Linked DNA regions of Lonchura striata. The protein of the gene in region 4 purifies or fractionates together with the protein of the main gene of each other region. This does not show direct contact. Links are inferred from orthologs where the notes say so. Each region holds a gene or a part of one and is shown on either strand. Other genes may lie near its edges.

What was found.
Region 1: the proteins of SMARCC2 (region 4) and TBL1XR1 fractionate together in Homo sapiens (co-fractionation; 3 studies listed by BioGRID, with this or other methods). This does not show direct contact. The link is inferred for Lonchura striata from reciprocal best matches to the Homo sapiens genes SMARCC2 and TBL1XR1.
Region 2: the proteins of SMARCC2 (region 4) and DPF2 purify together in Homo sapiens (affinity purification with mass spectrometry; 8 studies listed by BioGRID and IntAct, counting the BioPlex papers as one, with this or other methods). This does not show direct contact. The link is inferred for Lonchura striata from reciprocal best matches to the Homo sapiens genes SMARCC2 and DPF2.
Region 3: the proteins of SMARCC2 (region 4) and BCL7B purify together in Homo sapiens (affinity purification with mass spectrometry; 3 studies listed by BioGRID and IntAct, counting the BioPlex papers as one, with this or other methods). This does not show direct contact. The link is inferred for Lonchura striata from reciprocal best matches to the Homo sapiens genes SMARCC2 and BCL7B.

Annotation. Positions count from the first base shown.
Region 1 is NC_134612.1:20,899,114-20,906,110, reverse strand, and holds the start of TBL1XR1 (F-box-like/WD repeat-containing protein TBL1XR1), read right to left. Parts: upstream 3,004-6,997; 5' UTR 2,655-3,003; intron 1,704-2,654; exon of another isoform or gene 1,646-1,703; intron 1-1,645. UniProt on the Homo sapiens protein: F-box-like protein involved in the recruitment of the ubiquitin/19S proteasome complex to nuclear receptor-regulated transcription units. Plays an essential role in transcription activation mediated by nuclear receptors.
Region 2 is NC_134638.1:227,601-235,061, forward strand, and holds the start of DPF2 (zinc finger protein ubi-d4), read left to right. Parts: upstream 1-4,457; 5' UTR 4,458-4,522; coding exon 4,523-4,554; intron 4,555-6,925; coding exon 6,926-7,086; intron 7,087-7,461. Other genes in the region: uncharacterized protein LOC110478861, read left to right, coding at 1-1,002. UniProt on the Homo sapiens protein: Plays an active role in transcriptional regulation by binding modified histones H3 and H4. Is a negative regulator of myeloid differentiation of hematopoietic progenitor cells. Might also have a role in the development and maturation of lymphoid cells.
Region 3 is NC_134622.1:786,576-793,712, forward strand, and holds the start of BCL7B (B-cell CLL/lymphoma 7 protein family member B), read right to left. Parts: upstream 3,003-7,137; 5' UTR 2,953-3,002; coding exon 2,861-2,952; intron 2,548-2,860; coding exon 2,472-2,547; intron 1,754-2,471; coding exon 1,657-1,753; intron 755-1,656; coding exon 518-754; intron 313-517; coding exon 233-312; intron 1-232. Other genes in the region: TBL2 (transducin beta-like protein 2), read right to left, coding at 3,630-4,086, 5,035-5,187, 5,815-5,941, 7,058-7,137. UniProt on the Homo sapiens protein: Positive regulator of apoptosis. Plays a role in the Wnt signaling pathway, negatively regulating the expression of Wnt signaling components CTNNB1 and HMGA1.
Region 4 is NC_134629.1:5,444,159-5,451,530, forward strand, and holds the start of SMARCC2 (SWI/SNF complex subunit SMARCC2), read right to left. Parts: upstream 3,015-7,372; 5' UTR 2,967-3,014; coding exon 2,856-2,966; intron 2,695-2,855; coding exon 2,575-2,694; intron 1-2,574. UniProt on the Homo sapiens protein: Involved in transcriptional activation and repression of select genes by chromatin remodeling (alteration of DNA-nucleosome topology).

The DNA.
Region 1 (6,997 bases), on a different chromosome or scaffold from region 4:
TGTTCACAAAGCTGTGTGTTTTACAAGACTTCCTGACTTCTGCACGATTACATCCTTGTAGGATGTGGGTCTTTACTGCCACTACAAAACTTATAACAGCAAACACATTCTGACTCAAATGTGAAGTCCACATTCTATTAAATTCCAGACCAAAATGAAGTTAGGTAAAATAACTCAGTTTGCTTTACGTTATTCAGATCTGTTCTTCCTAACTTAAAACAACATTATCAGCAATTTTGGCCATTTCCCCTAATCCGTCCAGAGCCTCTTTATGCCTAGGGCTCTAGCACTTTTAAGGATCAAACTCTTTCATGATGGGAAAATGACTATGAAGTATTGCTGTTGGGTACTTAGCGCTTATACCCTGCCTTACAACTTCAAAGCATTACACAAACATCAATAATTACCATATATAGAGTAAAACTGAAAGAAGTATTCATATTTAAAAAGAAACTCACAAGAAAAAAAGTTTTAACTACCTGTTTGAAAGAGGAAAAAAAGCTTAAGCAACAGAATCTTCTGTAATTATTGTGTTCTTTATGCTACAAACACACATTCTGGCTGTGCATGTTCAAACAAACAAAAACTATACACTCTTGCAAAGTCTTAAAAATAAATTATAAAGCCCAAAAGCCAAACCCCAACCCTTCTCATACATTTAAATTACATTTCCTTCTCTTTTCCTCAAGGAATGAGAGCTAAGTGCTCTCCAGGTGTTCCCAATAACAGTTTGGGAGGCAGGCCACCAAGCTCCCAAGATAGAGTACCAGAAAACACAGTTCTCATGGAGAAAAATCCAACTTCCCCCAAGAAACCTTAAGATAGCAACAGTGCAGTGGCTCAGGTGACCTTAGGTAAATAATACAAAATGTTATCATTCCATTAAACCTTAAACAAAACCAAAGGGGGAAAAAACACTAGAGAAAACCACAGAAAGTTTGTTTCAATCAATTACAGGGCACCACCTGTGGCCTAAGCACCATCCCAGCCCCTTTTTCCAATGGATAAGGACAAAAACCCCTTCAGAGCTCATCCACAAGCACATACCCACTCACTTAAATTTAAGGACACACACGGGAGCTTGCAGTCCAGTCCTCATTTGGAACATATTCCAAAAAGCCCTTTAACACACATGTCCAAAGGAAGGCCCCAAATACAATGTGAGCCTCACGTGGACAAGCCTTCAGGTTACTCAGAGCAGGAAGAAGGCTGGAAACTGCCCCAAAGCCCAGGTACAACCAAACCCCAAATACCAACTTTGCATATGGTGCCCTTGATGCTAAAGGAGCACAACGCACAACACCCAAAGGGCAGAGACCATCAACAGTAAAGAACCTTTTTAAAGCACACAACGTGCTCAGACATTTATTTTAGCACAGAAGGAGAGCAAAGCAAGTCAGACAAGCCTACAAAACTCTTTTTTTTATGCAACAAAGACCTGTTTCTCCTGATCATGCCTCCCATGCCTTAACAATAAGGAAGGAATATGTTTTGTGATCCCCTCCCCCATAAATCAGTTAGGAATTTGATTTACACAGACAGGAAAACGAGGAAGTCGAGCACACTGGAGAGTAGTAAAAACTTCACCAGCAAACTTCACTTTCCTACACAGCGACCTACAAACCAAACTTTCCTCCAGACTCACGTGTCATCTGCAGCAACCAGCCCCTGCCATAAAGCACAGACAAAGTTTTGCTGTTCTGGGGATAAAGACAAGCGAGGGAGAGACTTTTATTCTGTCAAGCTGCCTTAAAAGGAAATTCGGTGATGAAAGATTAAATTCACCTGGAACAACACGATAAATTTTAACCCTTTCGAGGGTACAACAATAACAAGCCACATATTTCAGGACTTAAATCCTCCACCAATAAAACAGTACACACTGCATCAACCGTGCGAGCCCCTCTAACTGATGCAAGACACAATTTACACCAGGGTTTCGGACGGGGATAAGCCCTGGCAAGGAGAGACGCTGTGAAATGGGAGAATAAAAGCTTATTTTATGCCCCGAAGCGGGCCCGCTCCCTGCCACCGCGGGGCACCGCATGTTCCAGCCCGAATTCCGCCGGAAAACTGATCAATAACTTGGCTCTGGGGGGGTGAACATCGGGAATGGCCCGGGGGTGGGGGTGTATCCCCTCCCCAGCAACGGGGAGTCGGGATGGGGGAGAACTCCGGGGAGCGGGGGAGGGGAAGGGCCTCCCCTCCCCCATCCCGACCGGGCCCTCCCCCCTTCCCCTCCCCCCAAGTAAATATGCGGGAAGGGGGGGAGGGGAAGCCGCTCTTCCCCACAAATCGGGCTAAAAATAGGCCTCTCGCCATGGCTCCCGTGTGCCATTCGCTGCCGAGGCCGGTGTCCCCCCCATCCCCCGCTCCATTAAACCTTTTCTTCTTTTTTTTTTTAAAAAAAAATGAAGGCGGGTGGGGGAGGGGAAGCCAGCGGCGCGGGGTGGGGGAGGGGTGAATATGTGTATATATACATAAATGTGTCTGCATATCTATCTATGCATGTATATATACACATACTAATAACAACGGGGGGTCCAGAGGAGCCCCGTCCCCCTCCCGCCCGCACGGACACAAACAGGGCGGCCGCCCCCACCCCATCCCCGGCCCCTGCCCGCCCCCGGGGCTCGGAGCCCCCCGGTTCTTACCTTGCGAGCGGCTGCTCCCCCTTTCCCAGGGAACGGAGGCACGAGGAATTCACCCTGGATTGTCTCTCCTCCTCCCGTGTGTTTTATACCGCCGCGTGTATATACGCGCACATCCCTGCCAGTGTGAGCGTGTGTGTGTGTACACGCGTATAGTTATCGATTATATTTATATATATACACACACATATATATATGTATTTTTAAGGTGTCCACACCGAGAGGAGGAGGAGGAGAAAAAAAAAAACACCAGGAAAAAAAAAACCAACAAAACCACCACACACACACAGGAGGAGGAAGGAAAAAAAATACCCAGCGCGTAGCGCTGTGATATTCAATTATATCCGAGCCAGGGGCCGGGGGAGGGGAGGGTGGGGAGGGCGGGTGGGGGGGGACTGGAGATTAAGTCCCGAGGAAGGAGGGGAAAAAAAAAAAAAAAAGTAATATGTGTGTGTGTGATTGAGATTGAGGAGGGATCGGGGCGGAATGTGGGAGCTGTTACTGGGGGAAGGAGCCAAGCGGCGCGGAGCAGCCGGCGGCCCGCAGACACTCCGGGTGCCCGGCCGCGCCGAAATGGGCGCCGGCGGAGGGAAGGGAAGGGAGGGAAGGGAGGGAAGGAAGGAGGAAGGGAAGCGGCGAGCCTCGGGAGGCGAGGCCAGGCGAGGAGGAGCGGCCGGGCCGGCCGCAGGAGCCCGGCGCGGGGCTCGGACGGGAGCCCGCGGGCCGCCGCCTTCCCCGGCCGTGCGGAGGGAGGCGGCCGGGCACGGCGGGCCCAGGCCGCGGAGCTTTTTCTGGGAAAGACGTTAAACTGCGCTGCCGACAGGGCTTATGTAAATGCAGGATGTAACATGGTGGTTTTGCCTCTCGCGGCCCGTCGCGGTTGGCGATGGCACCTGGCACCGGGGTCCAGCCCCGTGTGGGCACCGCGCTACCGCCTCTGCCCTCTCCTTTCATGAAAATAATCCTCCGCAGCACTAACGCAATGGCCTACCTGGGTGCTGCTCATTTTTACAATTGAAATGCTGTTTGTCATCTATAGGGCCGCATTGTTTGTTTTTGAAAGCGAGCTTTGTTAATCAAAACCACATTCGTCACCAGGCAGCCCTTTCCATCTTAAAATGGTTTTGCAAGAGCATTTCACGCTCTTGGGCGACGGTCCAGCACTCTCATGTCCGGACATTGGCACCCGTGCAGAGTCCCAGTGACCACAAACCCTGCACAGATCCGATGGAAACATCCGATGTTATCCCAGCTCCACACACGCCAGCCCAGCTCTGGTGCTGCTCAAACAGGGTGTCCACATCTCCACATCACCACACTCAATTTCAGAGCTTGATTTCGCTGCAGCTGGCACTGCATAAAGAGCTGGTCATGAATGTAGTGTCTTTTTTCTTTCGTCTTCTTTTTTTTTTTTTTTTCTTTTTTTTTTTTTTGTGAATAGACCATTGCCAGAGAATTATGCTAGTCCTAAGGCACCAGTTCTGGATTTTACCTTCAGTCTAACACCTGGGATATACCATAGGCAGATTTTGCCTACCTGAGCATCATTACACAAGCAGATGGAGTCCATCCACTCCACAAAGCTTTGGGTAGGTCTCTGGGTGTAGAATCCTCTTATAGTACTCATTTTCTTCAGGGTCAAACCCATGCGTTTTTCCTTCCTTTCTGAAGAAAAATATTTAAATACAGGCCAAAGTCATGTAGAGAAACATAAATCTCTCTAGGAAGCCAGGAAGCACATTTGTAATTGCAAATCTTGGTGTCCAGCATTTATTTGTGTAATGACTTTGGTGTCCCAAGTGAGCAACTTTCTCTTCTCACTAATGGTGTGGAGGCTGTCTGCTTCAGGTATGTAAAGAGGCAATAGTTTTGAACACTATATCCAGTCTAGCTCCAAAATTTGCTGAAAGTCAAGAAATTTAAGAGGGAAAGGAAAAGTGGCAATGCACTCATTAACACATTCACACATTATAATCTTAGATCTGTCCGTGCTTCTAATGGAGTTGGACCTTCTGATACTCTGATTTATTTCCCAGGTGAAAGAAGATAAGCAGTAACAGTGTGTGGAGGAAGGGAAATGGGAATATGCACATAGCCTAAGGCAAGAGGAAAGGGAATTCTTCTGGGGGACTGGGGGACAGCAGGGGCCTAGAGAAGGATATCTGAGAAGTCCATGAAATGGGAATGAGAGGTGTGACATTCAGAAAGCTTGTGTGAGAAACGGGGGAGGGAAAATCCCTGAAGTGTGCGTTGTTTGGCCCTCAGGAACTACAAACACTGTCTTCCCATCCATCTGCCGAGCAGCGACAACGTGCTGAGCTGAAGTCATCTGGCTGAAGGTTTCCGTGGTCTGGTGTTCTCCAAATGTTCGGTCGCGGCTCTGGGGTGCCAGGCTCTCTTTTTTAACATGGTGATGTGCTCAACTGGGCAATTTCCCGAGAAGTTCTGTTCTGCAGAATCTACAAAGTGAATTCTGGTGGATTTGTGCTTTTAATAGTCATCCCTCATCTGTTTTGTTCTGGTTTCCCTTGTTTCACGAAGGCAAACACCCCGCAGGACTGCACAAACGCCTCTCACTGTCTGTTATGAGCTTTAGCCTTTGCAGTTCTCTTGCCCAAATGTGCAGCTGGATTCAGGGCTACAGGGGACACTTCCAGAGCGTATGGGAAGGAGGCTCTCCCTTTCAGAGGTTTCCAAGAACGGATGTTGGGCAACACGGGGCAGTTGAGCAGGTTGTGGTTTACAGCAGATTGTTCAGTGAGCGAGCTGAGCTCAGGGAGTTGGCTTTGCCCTCTGGGAGAGCCACTTCTAAACAATAACTCTTGTTACACTTCCCAAAGCAGCAAGAAAGATTGGACAAAACCCTAACTTTCAGATGTATAACTGGAGCAGATCCGAGGTCTCGGTTCACTTGTGTGTTTGAATAAAAGCACGCTTTCTGAAGTTCTTCAGTGACACAGCTGCTCGCAGCCAGTGGATCCATCATCCCAATGACTGGAAAGTCTTCTCATGCCCATATTTTTAAGACGCATCCTTAAAATAGTTGAAATGACTTGTAACAGGGAGTGCTCGGCCTACCAAGCACATATAAGCAAATATTTGCAATAACTGGCCCAGTGTTTGCACAGCACCAAGCACACTGCCTGGACTCCATAAATAATAATACTTGGCACTTGCAGAGTGGTTTCCATTTTCAAAGCACTTTAGTCATAACCCTTGACACCTATACGGCCTTTTACATCTTTACAAGAATTAATTAATCCTCACAATGCCCTGTGAGGTAGGTATGCACTGCAATAATAACAATAACAACAATTAATAATTCATGCATTCTACTCAAAAATCACTTCAGGGATTAAAATGCATCTGTAATACTTGGGGTTTATTAACATTTTCCAGCAAATAATAAAACCCATGCTATTGTGTTAAATCTATATAATATCCATCCATAAATCTTGTGCAGATTGGAGCGAGACTGAAGGCGCAGCGAGGCACCAACACACCAGCAGGAAGCAGATGGCTGGCTCCAGAAAAGTTCAAGCCCAGTCCACACACAATCCAGGTGCCAGAGTGGAGCCCACCACGCACGGCAGCACGTAAATAAATACCAGCGAATCAGGAAGGCTTTTTGTTCATTTTTAGCTCTTGTTTCTGCAGGGGCTCCCCCAGGCTGGGGTGCTGAGCCCATCCTGCACAAACACAGCACCAGGAGGGTGCAGGCTCCTGGTGAGGAAGGGCAGTGACTCAGCACCGCGCTGAGCAGGGAGCAGGGAGGAGCCTGGACAGCACCAGGCAAACACTTTCCCTCCGCACTTTCCCTCATAAAAATTACCATAGTGCCTTTGATATGCAGGCAAGCCCCAGTTAAACCTGATATTTAAACCAGCGGGACTTAAACCCTGTCGATTTAAACAGGAGAGCCACCAGGCTCCCACGGGGCAGCTCTGGGTTTGGCAGGGCAGAGGGGGGACCAGGCTCCCCACACGGATGGATCCCCCACAAAGATGCTGTTGTCACTTTGCATCCCAAAGTGGATTAATGAAAACCACAAGGGCACTTTAATCCTAATGAGTAGGTACTCCCACACCCTAGCAATTCCACCAAGACTTCCTCTGAGTCGGAAGCACTGAGCAGTTCGGCCCAGAGACCTTCATATTCTTAAGACCTTTTCTTTCCCCCTCAATTCGAGAGAGATGTCAACATTAAGGAAAAAAAAAACCCTCTAAATTATTTTTATTTGTATTGTGCATACTGAGAAAGGAAACAGAGGTTCACGGTTGGAAGACAGTGGTTCTATTCCTTTTGAGGCTGCTGACAATGACTCTTTGCAAGGAGATGACATGTTC
Region 2 (7,461 bases), on a different chromosome or scaffold from region 4:
TCTGATTACAGCTCAGATCCCAGCTCAGATCCCAGCTCTGACTACAGCTCATATTCCAGCTCTGATCCCAGCTCAGATTCTGGCTCTGATTCCAGCTTGGATTCCAGCTCAGATCCCAGTTCTGATCCCAGCTCAGATCCCAGCTCAGATCCCAGTTCTGATTCCAGCTCAGATCCCAGCTCGGATCCCAGCTCAGATCCCAGCTCGGATCCCAGCTCAGATCCCAGCTCAGATCCCAGCTCAGATCCCAGCTCGGATTCCAGCTCAGATCCCAGTTCTGATTCCAGCTCGGATTCCAGCTCAGATCCCAGCTCAGATTCCAGCTCGGATTCCAGCTCAGATCCCAGCTCAGATCCCAGCTCGGATCCCAGCTCGGATTCCAGTTCTGATTCCAGCTCAGATCCCAGCTCAGATCCCAGCTCAGATCCCAACTCAGATCCCAGCTCAGATCCCAACTCAGATCCCAGTTCTGATTCCAGCTCAGATCCCAGCTCAGATCCCAGCTCAGATTCTGGCTCTGATTCCAGCTCAGATCCCAGCTCAGATCCCAGCTCAGATCCCAGTTCTGATTCCAGCTCAGATCCCAGCTCAGATCCCAGCTCAGATTCTGGCTCTGATTCCAGCTCAGATCCCAGCTCAGATCCCAGCTCAGATCCCAGCTCAGATCCCAGCTCAGATCCCAGCTCAGATCCCAGCTCGGATCCCAGCTCGGATTCCAGCTCGGATCCCAGCTCAGATTCCAGCTCAGATTCCAGCTCAGATCCCAGCTCAGATCCCAGCTCAGATCCCAGCTCAGATCCCAGCTCGGATCCCAGCTCGGATTCCAGCTCGGATCCCAGCTCAGATTCCAGCTCAGATTCCAGCTCAGATCCCAGCTCAGATCCCAGTTCTGATCCCAGCTCAGATCCCAGCTCGGATTCCAGCTCAGATCCCAGCTCGGATCCCAGCTCGGATTCCAGCTTGGATTCCAGCTCATTTTCCGCCTTTCCTCTCGCCGGGTGAGGGTTCGCCCTCAGGGCAGAACCCCCGAGCTCTCCTCAGTGCCAGAGCTGACCACTGGAAACGCGACCCCGTGTCCGTCGGACCCCGCGGGATGAATTCCTCTTTTGGGATGAATTCCCAAAGATTCCGGCCAGGAGGATTTGGGGGCGCAGCGGGGTTTGTTCTGAACCGTCACGGCGCCGTCACTTCAACTCCTGCTCCGTGAAATCCTTTGGAAATCCCAGACGGGGCAATCTCCCCCGGGAGATCTCGCCAAAACTCCCCGTGGAGAAGCCAAAAGTCCCCGTGGAGGAGCAGGGCTCTTGTTTTAGGAACTCAATCCACGGAGGGGCCAAAAAACCCCTCTGGGGCCGGCAGGAGCGGGGCTGGGCTGGGAATCCTCGAGGAGACGCAAAACCAACCCAAAATCCCGATCCGGGCCGACGGATCCGCCGCCGACTGTTTGGGAGCGGCGGGAACGGGGAATTCCAGCTGGATTTTGGGGAATGGGACAAAAACCCAGCTGGACACGCTGCCGGTGACTTCGCGGGGCCTCCTTGCCCAGGCTCCTGTCACAAATTCCATCTTTTCCCGATTCCGGGGAGTTTGAGCCCAGAATGAGGCCGGGATCCCCCCAGGGCAGAGTCGGGCCCCTCCTGACCAGCGAGTCTAATTTAGATTATCTGACTAATGACTCATTAGATTCTCCTTAACGAACCCTTGTCCCGCCTCTTCCTTCCCCTCCCCCTCTGCGTCGGTAAACCGCTTTTGGTGCAAACACCCAGAATTTGGGGATAAACCTATTTCCCAACGTTTTCGTCTGTAAAATAATTAGCAGACCGAGGTTGATTGGGCTCGATCAGGTTTAATTTCTATTTGGTCCAACTCTTCCCTGCTCTGAACTCTTTTCTCCCCCCACACTCTGTCCACATTTTATTTATTTTGGGATTTTTCCTCGCCAAATCAATTCCAGCCGTTTCAGAGCCTCGTTTGCGATTAATTAACCCTCGGGACATTTGTGATTAATTAACCCCAGAGATTGGGATGGGAAGGTGGCTCCAGACACGCCACAGCTGCCACTCGGACCAACGTGAAGGGAAGCCAGCCCAGCACGGCTCATTTTGGGTGGATTTCTGTGGTTTGGGGGTTTTCCAGCGCGAGCTGGGCTGGGACAATGTGGATGGACTTTTTTTCCTGGATTTCACCCCAGTTTTCCTGGCTTCCACCTTAATCAGTGATTTGAAGATGGAGCTGTTTGTGCCCCACCTCGGCCCAGGAATTGCGAAACCGTCGCTGCCGGAGCGGTTTCGAAATAATCAAAATCAGCCAAAATCCCCTTTTTTCCTGTTTTGTCCCTTTTGTGTCCCGGTTTTTTCCCTTCCACAACCCAGGGCTGACTTTTGGGGTGCTCCAGCTTTAATCTGGGATCTCGTTCACTCGTTTCTGTTCTCTCTGCTCCAGTCCTGGAAAAGCTCCTTTAATTTATCAAATTTGGGGTTTTTTTAACCTTGAAAAGGTGATTTTGCTTTTCTCCCCCCCTCCCCTCCTTTCTCTCTTCCCTCCCTCCCACACCCCCCAGACCAACTTGCTATAAACCCCTGAAATTATCCCCAAAATTAGTGTTATTATCCCTGAAATGTTTTTTTTCCCTCAATCTCATCTCCTGAAAAAAAAAAAAAAAACAAATTCCTTAATTAACTTTTAATTAATGAATAAATCATTTGGGATCCCTTTCCACAGAATTGGAGCCTCCTTCACTTCTCCCCTAATTAATCACTCCCCGAATTAATGATTTATGCAAACCACAGCTGCTGATTTGCTCCCAATTCCAAGAATTTGAGTCATCCGGAGCAGCCCTGACTCAGCTCCCCCTCCCTTTTTGGAGAATAACTCCGGATTCAATCAAGGATGGAATCGTTCATTAACCCCAGCAGGGGCACAGGCCTCCCTCCCAATTTCCTCGTTATCCCGGGATTTCCGCTGGATTAACGCCGCCCACGCCAGCGGTCAGTGCCTGACCCCCGGCGTGGCCGGAGCCGGGAACGGAGCCGGAGCAACAGCCGGCCTGGGATTACCAGGAGGAGGAGGAGGAGGAGGAGGAAGGTTTGACCAGGGGGTGACCTTGGGGGAGAAACGCAAATTCCCAGCAAACAGGGAAAAAAAAACCCAGGTAGGATGTGGAAATAAGGAGGAAAAAGAGAGAGGAATTCACCTGGAAATAAATGGGGAATTCACCTGGAATTGAGGCACTCACTTGGAATGTGGAATTCACCTGGAAATAAATGAGGAATTCACCTGGAAAGGAAAACTCACCTGGAAGCTGCCATCAAACCACGCTCGCCGTGGGGTCTGTGGGTGACCTCGGTCCTGAGGGATGAATTTGGGGACACTTGGTTAATTCAGGTTGGAGAAAAAGGGAAAAGAGCTCAACAATGGGAACTTTTGGCAGGAGTTTTTGGGGATGAGGAGCCGTAAGGAATCTGGGGGGATCTGAGGGATCCATCCTCACTTATCCCTCATTTCCCCTCTCCCAGCTGTTCATCCCTCATTTCATTCCCCCATCCCCAATTTATCCCTCATTTCCCCTCTCCCAGCTGTTCATCCCTCATTTCATTCCCCCATCCCCAATTTATCCCTCATTTCCCTCCCAACCCTCACCCCTCTTTCCATGTTATCCCTTCCTTCCTCCATCCCTCCCCATCCTCCCTCTTCTCACCCCATTCCATGGAAAAGCTGAGAAAACCTTTGGGATCATCAAAATCCAACCCGGCCACCCCTGAACAGCGTCCCCATGTGCCACATCCCGGCTTTTTTTGGGATAACCCCAGGGTGGGACAACCCTTTCCAGGGACTTTCCTGAACAAACCTCCCCTGACACAACTCGGGGCTGTTCCTTTTGTTTTATCCATGGGGAGAAGGGATCTCACCCCCAGCCCCATTCCAGGGAATCTAGGGAGCAGTGCGGTCTCTCAAATCTCCTTTTTCCACGATAAACCCCCTCATCCTCTGCCATCATTTCCGCCCTCACTTTCTGTCCATTTTTGCCTCACTCTCGTGCTTTGTTCTCTCCCATTTTTCCCCTCAGTCTCCCCCCGTATCCCCCACTCTGCCTCCCACCCTCATCCCCACGCCCTCCCTTCCTCCCCGTACCTTCAGCCGCCCCTTTTTCCCGGATTTTCTCCTTTTTCGTGCATTTTCCCCCCTCAGATCCTTTTCCCGCCATTTTTCCCCTCAGGCTTTCGCCCCTCCCCCACTCCCCCTTTTCCCGCCTTTTCTCGCGCCCCCCCCCCCGCGCACGCGCGCGGCGCACAGCGCCCCCCAGCGGCCGGGAGGACTCCGCGCTCCCTTCCCCCGGCCCTCCCTCTCCCTCCCTCCGCCTCCCCTTTCCCCACCCTCCCTCTCCCCGCTCCTCCTCCTCCTCCCTCCATCCCTCTCCTTCCTCCTCCTCCTCCTCCTCCTCCTCCTCCATCATCCCCCTCCCCGCCCCTCCCGCCCCTCCCTCCGCGCACGCGCCCCGCGGCGCCCCGGCGGCGGAGCCAAGATGGCGGCGGTGGTTCAGAATGTGGTCAAGCTGTGAGTGCGGCTCCCCCCCCTCCCCGCACACCGCCGGTCTCCCCCCCGCGGCGCGGGAATGGTGCGGCCCGGCCGGGCGCGGGAAGCGGGGCCCCCCCTTGGCCCCGCGCGCGCCGGACGGGACCAAGCGGGCGGGCAGGGGGGTGGGGAGGAAGCGACACGCGCGCATTGTTCGCCGTGAACTTTGCTGAGGGGGGCGTTGAGGACACCCCAAAATCCTCCCCCGGCACCGGGAGGGCCGCAGAGGTGTGAGGGGAGAGCAGAGCCTGCGAGGGTCCCGAGGGGCCGGGGGGGTCCCGCAGTCTGGCCCTGAGGGGGTCCTGGAGAGGGCAAAGGCGGGGGTTCGCCCCTGGAAAATTCCCTGGATCGTATCCCTGTGCTTCCCTGTGCTCCCTCGTGTGGCCCTAAACTCCGTCTGCGAGCGTCCTGGAGAGGCCAAGGACGGGGGAGTCATCCCAGCGCATCCCTGGAGAGTCCCTGTGCCTCCTTCAGTATCCCTGAATATCCCTGAATGTCCCTGTACCTTCCTGCTTTTTCCTGCACTGCTTCCCAGCGCATCCCTGGAGAGTCCCTGTGCCTCCTTCAATATCCCTGAATATCCCTGAATATCCCCGAATATCCCTGAATGTCCCTGTACCTTCCTGCTTTTTCCTGCACTGCTTCCCTGTGCACCCCTGGAGAGTCCTTGTGCCTCCTTCAATATTCCTGAATATCCCTGAATGTCCCTGAATATCCCTGAATGTCCCTGTACCTTCCTGCTTTTTCCTGCACTGCTTGAATATCCCTGTACCTTCCTGCTTATTCCTGCACTGCTTCCCTGTGCATCCCTGCCAGAGGGTCCTGTGGAGGCCGAGCTGGGGGGAGCTTCCCTGTACTTCCCTCGAAATCCTTGTATTTCCCTCAAAATCCCTGTATCTCCCTCGAAATCCCTGCATTTCCCTGTATATTCCTGTGCTTCCTTCTAATTCCCTGTATTGCTCTCTAAATCCCTGTATTTCCCTGTGTATTGCTGTATTTACCTTTAAATCCCTGTATTTCCTGTAAATCCCCGTATTTCCTGTAAATCCCTGTGTTTTCCTGTCCATCCCTTGGCTTCATCTCTTCCCTTCCCGCCCCTGTGAGAGTGTCCTGAAGAAGCCAAGGAATGGGAAATTGGAAACTTTATTCCGGAGGATTTCCACGTTTATTCCTGATATTCTCCAGGATTTTGTCCCTGAGGGTTTCCAGGTTTATCCCTGATATTCTCCAGGATTTTATCCCCGAGTCTCTCCGTTTGTATCCCTGACACTCCCCTGGTATCCCTGACATCCCTGAGAGGTTCCCCATTCCCTGTACCCGTCCCTGCCAATCCCGGTGCCAATCCCTGCCATTCCTTGTGCCAATCCTTCCCATTCCCTGCGCCATTCCCTGTACCCATCCCTGCCATTCCCCGTCCCATTCCCTGTGCCGTTCCCCGTGCCCATGCCGCCTTTCCCGGTGCCGATCCCGGCGTTCCCAGCACTGATCCCTACCAATCCCCGTGCCATTGCCTTTGCCAATCCCTCCCATTCCCTGTGCCATTCCCTGTGCCCATCCCGGCATTCCCCGTGCCCATCCCTGCCATTCCCTGTGCCAGTCCCAGCATTCCCGGTGCCGATCCCAACACTCCCAGCACTGATCCCTGCCATTCCCAGTGCCTATCCTGGCATTCCCCATGCCCATCCCTGCCATTCCCAGTGCCCATCCTGGCATTCCCGGTGCCAATCCCGGCACTCTCAGCACTGATCCCTGCCATTCCCTTTGCCCATCCCTGCCATTCCCTTTGCCCATCCCGGCATTCCCCGTGCCCATCCCTGCCATTCCCTGTGCCCATCCCTGCCATTCCCAGCACCAATCCCGCCGTTCCCTGTGCCCATCCCTGCCATTCCCAGCACCAATCCCGCCATTCCCTGTGCCCATCCCTGCCATTCCCAGCACCAATCCCGCCGTTCCCTGTGCCCATCCCTGACATTCCCAGCGCCCATCCCTGCCATTCCCCGTGCCCATCCCGCCGTTCCCTGTGCCCATCCCTGACATTCCCAGCGCCAATCCCGCCGTTCCCAGCGCCCATCCCGCCGTTCCCGGTGCCCATCCCGCTGTTCCCTGTGCCCATCCCTGCCATTCCCAGCGCCCATCCCTGCCATTCCCAGCGCCAATCCCGCTGTTCCCAGCGCCAATCCCGCCGTTCCCACCACCAATCCCTGCCATTCCCTGTGCCCATCCCTGCCATTCCCAGCGCCCATCCCGCCATTCCCAGCGCCCATCCCGCCGTTCCCTGTGCCCATCCCGCCGTTCCCAGCGCCAATCCCGCCGTTCCCGGCGCCAACGCCGCCGTGCCGCGGTGCCGTTGCAGGCTGGGCGAGCAGTACTACCGGGACGCCATGGAGCAGTGCCACAGCTACAACGCGCGGCTCTGCGCCGAGCGCAGCGTGCGCCTGCCCTTCCTGGACTCGCAGACCGGCGTGGCCCAGAGCAACTGCTACATCTGGATGGAGAAACGGCACCGCGGGCCCGGTACGGCGGGGAAACGGCGGGGAAACGGCGGGGAAACGGTGATGGGAAATGGCGGGGAAGTGATGGGAAACAGTGGGGAAGTGATGGGAGAATGGTGAGGAAGTGATGGGAAACGGCAGGGAAGTGATGGGAAACAGTGGGGAAGTGATGGGAGAATGGTGAGGAAGTGATGGGAAACGGCAGGGAAGTGATGGGAAACAGTGGGGAAGTGATGGGGAACAGTGGGGAAGTGATGGGAGAATGGTGGGGAAGTGATGGGAGAATGGTGGGGAAACGGCGGGGAAGTGATGGGAAATGGCAGGGAAATGATAGAGAACAATGAGGAAATGATGGGGAACAATGGTGAAATGATGGGGAAACAACAGGGAAATTATG
Region 3 (7,137 bases), on a different chromosome or scaffold from region 4:
TTTCGCACACCCCCATATCCTTCCCTCACACTTCAACACTTGATCTGAACCAGGGGATAAAGACCAAAGCTCAGAAAACCAGGAGGTTCTGGGAGCTCCCAGGGGGCACTTTGGGACTGCAGAGCAAGTCCATCCACCAAGATGCTTCAGCTACAAGAAGTAGCAACAATGGTCAAAGGGCCAGTCTGGGTCCAAGCACATTTAGAGATGGCTTCAATCCCCCTTCCCTTACCTGAGTCTCAAGAGGGACTGGCTCTTCCTTTGTGAGAGTGGGAGGCTCATCTGCCACTTCTGAGGAAGGCAGGGAGGGCTCTGGGGAGAACAGGTGGGTCAACAAAAATGCAGAGCCAGCACCCAGCTCAGTGCTGAACCAGGATAGAACACCTAGCTACAGAAGTCCCCGATGCCCTGGTAGCTTCCAGAAGCGCCAAGGCCACCCACCAGACCTGCAACAGCCCTGGAGTGGCCTTCCCTGAGCCCACCCATCTGCCTGCTCCCTTCTTGGCCCAGCACCCACCTTCCAGGGTCTCCTGCCCCAGGGTAGGAGGCTGCGAGTCATCCGTACGGAAGTCAGACGTGTGGGCAGGACTCATAGACTCACTCTGCTGAGGACTGGGGCTGGAGTTGGGGCTGCTGTCCACCTTGAGCTGGTATACATCAGACAAGGAGCTCTGGTTGCTGTTCTCATCTGCAGAAACAGCACCTGGTGAAGAAGAGCACCTTGACACAGCGGCACAGGCAGCCCAAGGTCCTGCTGAGATGGCAGAGCATGGTCAGAGAGTTAACCAGGGGATTCACTGTTCCCCGTCAGCCTAAGGGCTGTCAGGCACAGGACTGAGTCCTCCAGAACACAGTGGGAATCATATACATAACTGGCCATGGCAAAGGGAATGTTCCTGCCCTGGGAATGAGAACTGCCAAATTCCACATCTGCAGCTTGGGAGGGCCCTGGGCATCCAAAGAGCAGGAATCTCCTGCTCTGTATTAGGGTTTTGCTCCTTCTCTGTGAAGCAACACAAGGATTAATACTCAGCACCTGTCTCCCATGAGAAAGCAGGCCTGACACACACCTTGCCAAACTGCAGATCTGCAACATAACCCCACCACATCTCCTGAAGTGCCAGCAAATTCCTGATTTTCCTTAGCCACACACAGAGAAGGGGTTGGGGAGATGTGTACATTCTATTTCAGCAGTGAGTCTTGCTCTGCCAGAGCCTCTCCTGGCTGCACCACAGTGCCTAGACCAAGAGCAAGGCCACGGAGAGCCATTGCCCCTTCACCCTAAGGTCCATGGAAATAACTGTTGGAAAAGCAATCTTGGCTACAGGTGGCTACTGGACTCTCCCAAGCAGAGAATGGAAAGGGGTGATCAGGAAACCCCACTCCTCTAGTCAGCTGTGAAGCTTCCCACAAAAGAGTCCAGAAACAGCCCATTAAGAATCTCTAACAGCAAAAAGGAACAGTTTAGACAGAAACAATCCAGAAGTGGATCAGCCCAACTCCACAGCTCAACTTCATAGCTCTCTAGTCCACACCAGTGCTCAGAGGCAAGCACTGCTCTTCTCCATACAGGCAGCACAGAGAACCAGCAATGTCCCAGCTGCTGTACAGCCTTGGAGTCTTTCCCCATGCTGAAGGGAGCTCAGCCAGACCCACCTTGGAACTCCAGAAGGAGGGAGGAGTTGGCAGAGGTGTCAGCTGGGAAGCCATTGGGTTCTCGGGCCGTGCTGCTACTTGATTTGGATTTCTCTTTCTTAAGGAGAGAAAGAAAAGCACAAACACAATGTCAGAGAAACACATGCTGCTCCAGAGGAGCCATTCCCCTTTCTGTCTCCAGAAGCCCAGAGAGATGTGCTCAAGCTGGCCTTTTTCCCTTGCCTTTGGGGGCACATTCCTAAGTGAGAGGAAAAAACTCCATCTATGAAGGGACTGGAAAGCAGGAAAAGAGAGGAGGAGCAGACGCCCATCTAGGAATGACACTGAGTAAAGCAAATCCTTGGAGGAGTCAAGCAAAGAGTCTTAAGGGAAGCAGGAGGGGGCTCAAGGGAGCTCAGGGGGCTTGACAGTTCAGGGGATGCTCAGGTTGGCTGAAGGGGCCTGTTGGGGCTGGGAGGGGGGCCCAAGAAGGCTCGACAGGGACTTGGTGGGGTTCGGGGTCAGCTTGGGGGGGGATCAGGGGCTTGGGGGCGCTGGGAGGATCACAATAGGACAGGAGGGGCTCGGTGGGGCCTCAAAGGTCCTCAGCAGGGCTGGGAGGGCTCAGCGGGGCCTCAGGTGCTGGCTTGGAGAGGGCTCAGGGATCGACCTGGAGGGGACTCAGGGGGGTTTGGCGGCGTTCGGCGGAATCGGGAGGCTCAGGGATGGCTCGGTGGTCGGTAGGGCTGGGGAAGGCTCGGAGCTCAGCTGAAGTTAAGGGAGCTAGGCTGGCTGTGGGCGGTGGCTCCTGGCTCGTCTCCGCGCGCGGTACCCACCTCCTTACTGTCCGCCACTGGCACCCACTTGAATATCCGCAGGGACGTGTCACCCACCGTCACCCATTTCTTCTCCCTGCGAGACACGAGGGGGCCGGGCCGGGCCGGGGCACCATGGCAACAAGCCCCGCCCCCCGCCACCTTCCGGTTGGTCCGGAGCGCCGTCAGTTCCGCACCGGGCGGGCTGCCCCGCCCACCGCACTGCCATTGGCTGCACTCAAAGCCCATCACAGCCGCTTCCGTCCCCGCCCCGACCCCATTGGCCACCGCCCCTCCGCCCGCACCCGCTGGTTGGGCGCGCACTTCCGAGTCGCACCCCGCGGCGCGGCGATTGGCCGCGCGCGGGCGGCGCGGCCCTCCCCCTCCCCCCCCCGCGGGCCCGCCCTCACCATCTGCGGACGCGCTCGATGGCCGCCATCACCTTCTTGATGTCATCTTTGGCGCGGCTGCGGGTCTCGGCCCGCACCGAGCGCCCCGACATGGCGCGCGCAGCCCCGCAGCACCGGCCCCGCCGCACCCGCCGGCGCACCCGGCCCCGCGCACGCGCACTGCCTGGCCCGCCCGCGCGCTGCGCCTCCTGCGTCACCGCGCCCGACACGCCCCGGCTGCTGCGCCTGCGCAGACGCACGCGTCTGACAGCGGGCGCGGAAACGACGCGCGCGGGAAGCGGCGGTGCAGCGGTGGTTTCCCGTGGGGCACGTCCCGCTGCTCGATTCCCCCGAGATCCCGGGCCGAGGGAACGGGGCCACCCCGAGTCCGCTGCACCGTTACAGCACTGCCCCGTTCCCTGCAGCTGAATCCCTACCGTTCAGTATCAACACTGAACTTTGTCAGTTCTCTTGGAAAAAAAAAAACAAACGAAACAACTAACCATAAAACCTACCCCAAATGCACGCAACTCCCAATTCTAAGCTCAGGAGAACTCATAGGCATTGCCTTAGCAATCAATTCCATGGGATACTGATGATCTAAGCCCTGAGGGGAAAACAACACATGAATGTGACACTAGGAGATGCCACTGTCCCCAGCCCTGTCTTGCCATCACAGAGCACGCAAGGAAGAACCTGGGCACTCTGTTTATTATTGCTGTTCACAGTTATTTAAAAAAAAATAACACCCCCAAGGGAGAGTGCAGTTGCCTCCTGCTGTACAGGTAGCTTAGTACTTCTTGCCATAGATAGCAGCCAATGCTTTGTGAGCGCTGGAGATCTGCTGCTCCAGCCTCTCCTGCATGGCTTTGTTGCCAGTTTTTTTCAGCATGGCCTCCATCTCCTCCACCACAGCACGATGCCCAGCAGCGTTGTGGAAGACATGGATAGCACGATCCCCACAGGACACGATATAGCGGCCGGTGGTGTCAAACACAAGGTCTGTGACACAGTGGCTGTGCACGCCAAGAAAATGCTCCTCCTCCTCACCGTGCCGTGTGTTGTACACCACGATGTCTGTGCCGCCCGCCACGGCGACCGTGCGGCTGTCAGGGGACAGGGCAATGCGGCATGGCTCCGGCACTGCACACTGCCCTGTCAGAAGCAGATATGGGTCCTGCTGCTTCTTGTACTCCACATCTGTGTCCCAGAACTTCCATGTGCCATCCTTTGACACGGTTGCCATCCTGCAGCCAAAAGAGATCACGGTGAGTGTGTGGAAAAAGGGTGGCACCTCTTACCCTGCCCTGCCCATGAACCAGGAATCCTGTGGAGAGAGATCTCTTGGGAAGGGTGAGTCAATACACAGATACAGTCTCTGTTCTCTTTCCAAAGCAAAAAACCTACTACTAGACCAGGCTGCTCCAAGCTCCTTCCAATACAGCCTCAAACACTTCCAGGGATGGGGCAGCCACATCTTTTCTGGGCAACCTGTGCCAGGGCCTCACCACCCTCACAACCAAGGCTTTCTTCCTAATGTCCCACCTAACCCACTCTCCATCAGTCTGAAACAATTCCCCCTTATCTTGTCACTTCAGGCCCCTGTAAATACTGTCTCATCTTTCTTGTCAGTTCCCTTCAGGTCCTAGAAAGCCACAATTACATAACCTGAAACCTTCTATTTTCTAGGCTCAGCAATTCCAATTCTCTCCACCTTTCCTCATACCAGACCTGCTCAATCCCTCTGATCATGTTGGTGTCTCCTCTAGACTCACTCCAGCAGCCCCGTGTCCTTCCTGTGCTAAGACCCCAGAGCTGGAGGCAGCTCTGCGAGTGGGGTCTCACATGAGTGGGGCACAGGGGCAGAATTTCCCTCTCCTTTGTTACCCATGTGCTGTTTCTGGGCTGGGTCATGTCCATCTCTCACCTACCAGCACTCCCAGGCTGCTCTCAGTCTGTTCATCCCCAGCCTGGATTGATACCGGGGGTTGCCCTGATCCAGGTGCAGCATCAGCACTTGGTCTTGTTAAACCACATGAGATTCCTATGAGCAGGGAATACATAGGTGGCATGAGCTAGATTTGGCTCCCCAGGGTAGTGTTTTACCCCCTGCAGTTTAGTGATGCAGCTGGTGAACCCTGGAAGAGATGAGCTTACATGTTGTTAGGGTAACTCGGAGCAGGTAACACACATACCTTCTTGAGTCATTGGAGAAGGAAAAGGATTGTACACCAGCAGTGTGGCCTTTCAACTCAAAAGCCCTGGTCACCTCCCTGAAGTCTCCGTTCTTACTAAAATACACTTCCCACACTTTCACATCAGGGGTAAAGCCACAGGATGCCACAAACCTGTGTGAAGGAACAGAAGCAGAGACACAGGTTGCCTCTTAGAGAGAACCTGAGCAAGGCAGGGCCACAGTTCTGCAAATCCATCCTGACTCCTGCACTCAAGCTGAATTTCCACTTTTCTCTGAAACCTAGCTGGTAAAGGGAACACTAAGGAAGGGTACCAGAACAACTCAGGAATGAGAAACTCTTCGGTCAAAGTAGAAGAGCTAAATGCTATGGATCCCCAAACTCCTCATGCCAGGAGCAAGGCAAATCCAGCTACAGCAGCAAGTGATTTTCCCAATTAACAGATTTCCCAGGAAAATAATCTTTATTTTTATAATTAACCTTTAAGAGGTCACAGACAAGTTCAAAATGCTGTTTTCTTTGCAGAGGGCATTTGCTCTGTCCCACCCCTGCTACCTGAGACCAAAGCTGCTCTCAGGTTACCAAAACAGCAGTGCTGAGGCAGAATAGCAACACAAGAGTGCCTGACCCCACATCAGCTCCATCTCCTGGAGGGCCAAGATATCTTTTTAAACTGTGGAACCCTCAGAAAACTGCATTGCAATAACAATTAACTGCCAATGGTCTGAACTGATGCTATGCTGTGCAAAAGAGTAGCCTGGAATCCTGCCTGTCACTCACCTCCCACAGGGTGACACTGTGGCATAGGCATTGTTCATCTGGTTGGTGTTAATGCTGGCCAGGACTTTGCCCTTTGGGCTCCAGATCAGGATGGTTGTGTCACTGGAAGCTGTCATGATAAACTTCCCTGGGGAAAAAAAGGCAAAGTTCAGGAGAGCCCCCAGACCTAACACTGCCACAGACTCAATGAAGCCCCAGGATAACCTCTCCCTGCAGCTGGAGAAAACCACCAGCAGCACCAAAATCCAAGGAGTGTCAGTCTCCTAGGACAGAGTAAAGAGCAGTATCAGAAGACTCAGCTCCTGGTTATGCCTGAGTAGTCCCCTGGCTCCCAAGCAGGCAGCAGGCACTGAGCCCATGTGTGCCCTATACTCAGGACTCTGAGCCCCACAAGCAGAGCTGGGAGCCCCATGTGCAGCCCCACTGGGCTGTGCCACATACAGGAACAAACACTTCACCTGATCTGCATGCCCAAAATCAGCTTGAGGATAAGCACCTTTCAAGCTATGGATTGCAGGCAGGCAACTGAATCCCAGTCACAACCATGATCCACAGACCACGATCCATTATTGCTGGTTGTGCCCATACTGGACTCCTGCTTGTTCCCATTTCCCCTTTGCCACTTCAGCCCAGGCAGGGAGTTGCCTGTTTACCTTCCAGCTACTTGTTGCAGGTTTAAGTTTTCACTTTCACACCCCCAGTTTCAGTTAATATTTTACCTGACCTCCTATTACAGAGGTGAATTCACATCCACCTGCTCCCAACTGCCACTGGCACATACCTGACACATTAATCCATCAAGCCCTCACCACTAAAATGTAATTTCCACCCACCCACCCCCACCTCTGTTCTAGATGATCCCAGAAGCTCAAGGTAGACCATATTAACTCACTAGAGAGATTTCTCACTGGTTAAAGAGAGACTGGCAGCCCAGAGAACAGCAATCCTCTCAATATTGAGGCCAGACCTCTTTGCAACAGCATCTCTGAAAATGTAAATTAAGAAACTGTGCATATCAAGGAGCTGGTTACAGGGATATTATTGGTGTGAAAACAACACCTTTTGGTTCAGTTGGTAGCAAATTAAGTAAAAAAATCCCTAATAGACTACAGAGTTTAGTACAGAGTTTAGTACTGATGCTGTACACAGCCCCGAGAATGCCAAAAACTCCAACACTTTGAATCAAGCAGCTTCACAAGGAAATAAAAGCTTATCTGGAGAGGTGAGCAGCTCATTTCCATACCTGTCTCTGCAATCCCTATGTTAATGACAGGAGCCTTGTGCTTCTTTGGGAAGTCCCCAGAAGTCGCAGTGAAGGTGAAG
Region 4 (7,372 bases):
ACAATGGTGTCCCAGGGTCCCCGGCACTGTCCCCAGCACTCCAGGCCATGTCCCTGACCAGGGCACTGTCACTGGCCGCTGTCCATGGTCAGCTGCTGTCCCCGAGCCACCAAATGCTGAACGGTGTCACCAGGGCCGTGTCCCTGAGGCTTTGGGTGCTGTCCCTGCTCAGGGTCGTGTCCCCAGGTATTGGGGTGCTGTCCCTGCTCAGAGCTGTGTCCCCAGGTCTTTGGGGACACGGCCCCAGGGCTGTCCCCGTCTCTGGGGCACTGTCCCTGCTCAGGACCCTGTCCCTGGTCATCATTGTCCTTGTCCCCTTTTCACTGGGGCTCTGCCCCAAGGTTTGGGGTGCTGCTTCTGCATTTTTGGGATGCTGTGCCCATTTAGGCCTTGTCACCCTGTCCCTGGGTGCTGTCCCCAAGTCCTGGGGTTCTGTTCCTGAGCACTCAGATGCTGTCCCTGGGTATTGGGGTGCTGTCCCCACTCAGAGCCTTGTCCCCTGTTCTTTGGAGCTTTTTTGGGGGGCTCTGGGGCCCCATTCCCACTCAGCTTTGTCCCCAGGTTTTTGGGTTGCTGCATGTGGGGCACTGGGGCCTCATCCCAGGGTCATTGGGGTCTGTCCCCAGGCCTTGAGGGCACTGTCCCTGCTCATCAGGGTCAAAAAATCCCTGGGTCCCCAAATCCCTGGGGTCCCCAAATCCCTGGGTCCCCAAATCCCCAAGGCTCTGTCCCTGGGATTTTGGGGTGCTGTCCCCAGGTCTTTGGGCTCTGTCCCTGGGCACTGGGGTGCTGTCCCCAGGTCTTTGGGCTCTGTCCCTGCGATTTTGGGGTGCTGTCCCCGAGGCTTTGGGCTCTGTCCCTGCTCAGGGTCTTGTCCCTGCTCAGCAGGGCCCTGTCCCCAGGCACCAGGGCTCTGTCCCTGGGCATTGAGGGGACATCCTGAGTACTGGGATGCCTTCCCTGGATATTGGGGTGCTTTCCCCAACCTGGGCTCTGTCCCCTCTTCTTTGGTTCTCCCCCCTGGGTTCCTCCAGGACCCCATCCCAGGGTCATCCCTGCACTTTTGGGGCTCTGTCCCTGCTCAGAGCCTTGTCCCCGCTCACCAGGGCCATGTCCCCAGCTCTGAGGGATGCTGTCTCCACATCTTTAAGGCACTCTCTCCAACCTGGGCTCTGTCCCCACCTCATTGAGGCGTTCTCCCCATCCTGGGCTTTGTGCCCTCTTCTTCGGGGCTCTTCCCCAGCTCACCGGGGTGCCATCCCCAGGTCTCTGGGCTCTGTCCCTGCTCACCAGGGCCATGTCCCCCGCTCTGAGGGATGCTGTCCCCACATCTTTAAGGCACTCTCCCCAACCTGGGCTCTGTCCCCACATCTCTGAGGCGTTCTCCCCAACCTGGGCTTTGTCCCCCATTCTTTGGGACTCTTCCTCATCTCACCGGGGTGCCGTCCCCAGGTCTTTGGGCTCTGTCCCTGCTCAGAGCCTTGTCCCCGCTCACCAGAGCCATGTCCCTAGCTCTGAGGGATGCTGTCCCCACATTTCTGAGGCGTTCTCCCCAACCTGGGCTCTGTCCCCACCTCATTGAGGCGTTCTGCCCAACCTGGGCTTTGTGCCCTCTTCTTTGGGGCTCTTCCCCAGCTCACTGGGGTGCCATCCCCAGGTCTCTGGGCTCTGTCCCCGCTCACCAGAGCCATGTCCCCCGCTCTGAAGGATGCTGTCCCCACATCTTTAAGGCGTTCTCCCCAACCTGGGCTTTGTCCCCCGTTCCTCGGGGCTCTTCCCCATCTCACTGGGGAGCCGTCCCCAGGTCTCTGGGCTCTGTCCCCGCTCACCAGAGCCATGTCCCCCGCTCTGAGGGATGCTGTCCCCACATCTCTGAGGTGTTCTCCCCAACCTGGGCTTTGTCCCCTCTTCTTTGGTTCTCCCCCCAGGTCCCTCCAGGACCCCATCCCAGGGTCATCCCTGCACTTTTGGGGCTCTGTCCCTGCTCAGAGCCTTGTCCCCGCTCACCAGGGCCATGTCCCCCGCTCTGAGGGATGCTGTCCCCACATCTTGAAGGCACTCTCCCCAACCTGGGCTTTGTGCCCTCTTCTTCGGGACTCTTCCTCATCTCACCGGGGTGCCGTCCCCAGGTCTCTGGGCTCTGTCCCTGCTCTGAGCCTTGTCCCTGCTCACCAGAGCCATGTCCCCAGCTCTGAGGGATGCTGACCCCACATTTCTGAGGCGTTCTCCCCATCCTGGGCTCTGTCCCCTGTTCCTCGGGGCTCTTCCCCATCTCACCGGGGTGCCGTCCCCAGGTCTCTGGGCTCTGTCCCTGCTCACCAGAGCCATGTCCCCAGCTCTGAGGGATGCTGTCCCCACATCTTTAAGGCACTCTCCCCAGCCTGGGCTCTGTCCCCACCTCATTGAGGCGTTCTGCCCAGCCTGGGCTTTGTCCCCCGTTCTCCGGGGCTCTTCACCCGGGCACCACGAGCGTCCATGCCCGCACCTCCGGGGCCCCGTCCCTGCTCAGGGCCTCGTCCCCCGCTCCCCGCGTGTCCCGGCCGCGGTGTCCCCGCGTCCCCCCGCGGCTCTCACCGGCAGCTTGGTGAGGGGCGCGTTGCTGACGTGCTTCCCGAACACCTCCTCCTGGAACTGCAGCAGCTGCACCACCAGGCTCGACAGCGACTTGTTGGTGGGGGGCTCGGCCTGGATGTACTGCGGGGCCGGGGCTCAGCGGGGCCGGGGCTCAGCGCGGCCGCCGCGGCCGCTGAGGGGAGCGGGGCGGGGTGGGGGGGGCGCGATGGCGGCGGCGGCGGCGCCGTGACAGGCCGGGCCCGGCGGGCCGGAGGGCGGCCCCGCGGTTCCCGCGGACCTACCTTCTTGTAGTTCTTGCCCAGCCACAGCCGCACGTTGTCGAACTGGCTGACGGTGTCCGAGGCCTCGTAGTACTTGACGTTGGGGCCGCCGTCCTTCTTCCGCACCGCCATCTTGAGCGGGCCGGGCCGCGCCGCCGCCTGCGCCCGCCGCTGCCGCCCCCTGCCGGCGCCGCGCCGCCACTGCCGCGCCCGCCGCTCGCTGTCCCCGTTCCCGGTCCCTGTCCCCGTTCCCGGTCCCTGTCCCCGATCCCGGTCCCTGTCCCCGATCCCGCTGTCCCCGATCCCGCTGTCCCCGTTCCCGGTCGCTGTCCCCGATCCCGGTCGCTGTTACATCCCCGCCGCCCGCCTTGGTGCCCTCCCGTTCCCGCACTGCCGCTCCCGCCGCCCCCGCTGCCGCCCCCTGGCGGTGCCGCTCCGGCACTGCCGCCTCCGCCTCTCCCGCCCGGTCTTGCCGGTGCCGGTCGCTGGTCCCGCTCCCGCCCGGTGGTTCCGGTCCCGGTCGCTGGTCCCGCTCCCGCACCGCCACCCCCGATCGTTGTTCCCGACCTCGATCGTTATTCCCGGCCCCGCCGCCCCCGTTCTACCGCCCGCCACCGGTCCCGCTGCGCCCGCCACCGCCTCCTGCTGGTCCCGTTCCCGCCGTTCCCGCTGTTCCTCAGGCGCCGTTCCCGGTCCCGGGCGCCGTTCCCGGCCCCGAGCCCCCGCTCCACCGCCCGCTGCTGGTCCCGCTGCCCTCGGGCGCCGTTCCCGGTCCCGGGCGCCGTTCCCGGCCCCGAGCCCCCGCTCCACCGCCCGTTGTTGGTCCCGCTGCCCCCGGGCGCCGTTCCCGGTCCCGGGCGCCGTTCCCGGTCCCGGGCGCTGCTCCGGCCCCGAGCCCCCGCTCCACCGCCCGTTGTTGGTCCCGCTGCCCTCGGGCGCCGTTCCCGGTCCCGGGCGCTGTTCCCGGTGCCGGGCGCTGTTTCCGATCCCGGGCGCCGTTCCCGGCCCCGCCGCCCGCGGGTGCGACAAGAGAGGCACGACAAGGAGAAATGGGTTTAAACGAGAGGAGATCGGGCTCGGACGGGATTCGGGGAGGAAATTCCGCCCTGGGAAGGGCTGGGATGGATTTCCCGGGACAGCCCCGGGAGCGTTCCAGGCCGGGTTGGACGGGGTTTGGAGCAGCCTGGGATGGGGGAGGGCGTCCGGAGGGAGCCCCCGGACGGCACCGAGCACCGGGCTCCGAGCATCAGGCACCGAGCACCAGGCACCGGGCTCCGAGCACCGGGCACTGAGCACCAAGCCGGGTACCGAGCACCGGGCACCGAGCACCAGGCACCGGGCACTAAGCACCAAGCCAGGCACCGGGCATTGAGCACCAGGCACCGAGCACCAAGCCGGCCACTGAGCACCGGGCGCTAAGTACCAAGCGGAGCACCGAGCACTGGGCAGCGAGCACCGGGCACCAACAACCGGGCACTGAGCACCGGGCACTAGGCACCAAGCCGGGCACCGGGCACCGGGTACCGGGCACTAGGCACCGGGCACCGGGCACTAAGCACCAAGCCAGGCACCGGGCACCGAGCACTGAGCACCGGGCATTGAGCACCAAGCTGGGCACCGAGACCAAGCCGGGCACCGAGCACCGAGCACCGAGCACCGGGCATTGAGCACCAAGCCGGGCACCGAGACCAAGCCGGGCACCGAGCACCGGGCACCGAGCACCGGGCACCGGGCACCGGGCACCGGGCGGGGGCGGGCCGGGAGCGGCGGCGGGCCCGGGTCTATGCGGAGCGCGGCGGACGGAGGCGCCAGAGTCACGGTGGCCGAGTGGTTAAGGCGTTGGACTCGAAATCCAATGGGGTTTCCCCGCACAGGTTCGAATCCTGTCCGTGACGCCGCGCTCGCTTTTGCTGCCGGCGAACACACGTGGCAGCTGCCCCGGTACCGGCTCTTTTAACGGCGGGAGCGGCACGGAGCCTTCCGCCCTCCCTAGTGGCTCCCCTAACGGCGGGAACAGCGGGGAAGACACAGCCTCAGCCTCCGGTACCGGCTCCTTTAACGGCGGCAACAGCACCGATCCCCCAATCCCCGGTACCGGCTCCTTTAACGGCAGGAACAGCACCGATCCCCCAATCCCCGGTACCGGTTCCTTTAACGGCAGGAACACACAGATCCCCCAATCCCCGGTACCGGTTCCTTTAACGGCAGGAACACACAGATCCCCCAATCCCCGGTACCGGTTCCTTTAACGGCAGGAACACACAGATCCCCCAATCCCCGGTACCGGTTCCTTTAACGGCAGGAACACACAGATCCCCCAATCCCCGGTACCGGTTCCTTTAACGGCAGGAACACACAGATCCCCCAATCCCCGGTACCGGTTCCTTTAACGGCAGGAACACACAGATCCCCCAATCCCCGGTACCGGTTCCTTTAACGGCAGGAACACACAGATCCCCCAATCCCCGGTACCGGCTCCTGTAACGGCGGCAACAGCACCGATCCCCCCACAGGTCCTGGCTCCTCTAACGGGGGTAACCATAGGGATCCTCGCTCGGTTACCGGTCCTTAACGGCGGCAGCAGCGGTAACAACACGTGCTCTCCCTCCGGTACCGGCTCCGTTAACGGCGGGAGGATCAGAGAGTCCCCACGCCTCGGTACCGGGTCTTTAAGGGGTGGGAACATTGGGGAACCCCCTCTAATCCTTTAGGATTAGTTCCTTTTTGGGTCCTTTAGGGGTGGGAGCAGCAGGGACCCCCCAGACCCAGTCCCGGCTCTTTTTGGGGTGGGAACAATGGGGACCCCCCTAATCTCAGCTCTTTTTGGGGTGGGAACAATGGGGACCCCCCTAATCTCAGTTCTTTTTGGGGTGGGAACAATGGGGACCCCCCCTAATCCCGGCTCTTTTTGGGGTGGGAGTAGTGGGGACCCCCCAGACCCAGTCCCAACTTTTTGGGGTGGGAACAATGGGGACCCCCCCTAATCTCGTCTCTTTTTGGGGTGGGAACAGTGGGGAACCCCCCCAAGACCCAGTCCCAGCTCTTTTTGGGGTGGGAACAATGGGAACCCCCCTAATCCCAGCTCCTTTAGGGTCAGGAGCAGCAGGAACCCCCCAGTCTCAGTCCCATCTCTTTTTGGGGTGGGAGCAGCAAGAACCCCCCAAAACCCAATCCCAGCTCTTTTAGGGTTGGAAACAGTGAGAACCCCTCTAATCCCGGCTCTTTTTGGGGTGACAGCAGCAGGAACACCCCTCTATTCTCTGATCTTTTAAGGGCAGAAGTGGGGACCCCACTCCGGTCCCGGCTCTTTTAGGGGTGGGAACAATGGGGACCCCCCCTAATCTCAGCTCTTTTTGGGGTGGGAACAATGGGGACCCCCCAGACCCAGTCCCAGCTCTTTTTGGGGTGGGAACAATGCGGACCCCCCCTAATCTCGTCTCTTTTTGGGGTGGGAGCAGTGGGGACCCCCCAGACCCGATCCCAGCTCTTTTTGGGGTGACAGCAGCAGGGACCCCCCTCTATTCTCTCATCTTTTTAAGGGCAGCAGAAGTGGGGACCCCACTCTGGTCCCAGCTCTTTTAGGGGTGGGGACAAGTTCATCCTTTTTGGGGGGCACATCTGGGGGGCTTCGGAGCCCCCAGACCCTCCGTCACCCCCATTCCCTCCCTGGAGTGACATTTATCGATCCCCAGATGCCCCAGGATGGGGAGGACAGCCCCAAACTCACCCATTTTTACCCCAAAACCGAGCCCCCCGACACGGGGAGGGTTTTGGGGTGCAGGAGGAGGCCCCCAAAGCGGGGATAAAGCAACCAGAATTCTGTTTATTGATCACTTCAATCCCTGCCTCCCGCCGGATCTGCCGGGACCGACACCGGAGGAGAAAAATGGTAAAAAATAACCCAAAAGAAACGCAAATAAATTAAATTCCCAACGAGTCCCACGGACCCAGGCCAGAGGCGCCTGCCTACGGTACTTGGAAAAAAAATCGAATAAAAAGGGGGAGTAAAAATGAGAAAAGGTCCAAAAAAAAAAAAAAACAAAAAAAATTGAAGTACAAAAGAAAATAAAATACAGATCCACGATCACGAGTGTCTGGGAAGCAACAGCAAGGGTGGAGGAAGCAGAGTGGGAGGAGGTGGGGGATGCCCGGGGGGAATTCCAGAATTCCAGAGGGGGCGAGGAGAGGGAGCTCGGCAGATTTGGGGGGACCCCCGAGGGGTCTGGCAGTGCTGGAGCCCCCGCCGCCCCCTCCTCGCTGGGTTTGTAACGGCTCCAATCAAGCGAAGAACCCGAAAATTCCAAGTCCAGAAATTCAATTTTTCCTGCCGTCCCAGGATGGAGAAAACGTTGATTTTTTTTTTTTTTCCAAATCTCCACGCCACGAGCAAAAAAAAAAATCACAAACCCTAAAAACACCGAGTCCGGGAAACCCCACAGCCATCCCGAGGTGGATTTTGTTTTTTGTTCTTCAGATTTCTTCCACGCTGCGAGCGAAAATCAAAAACCCTAAAAATGCCGAGTCTGGGAAACCCACCC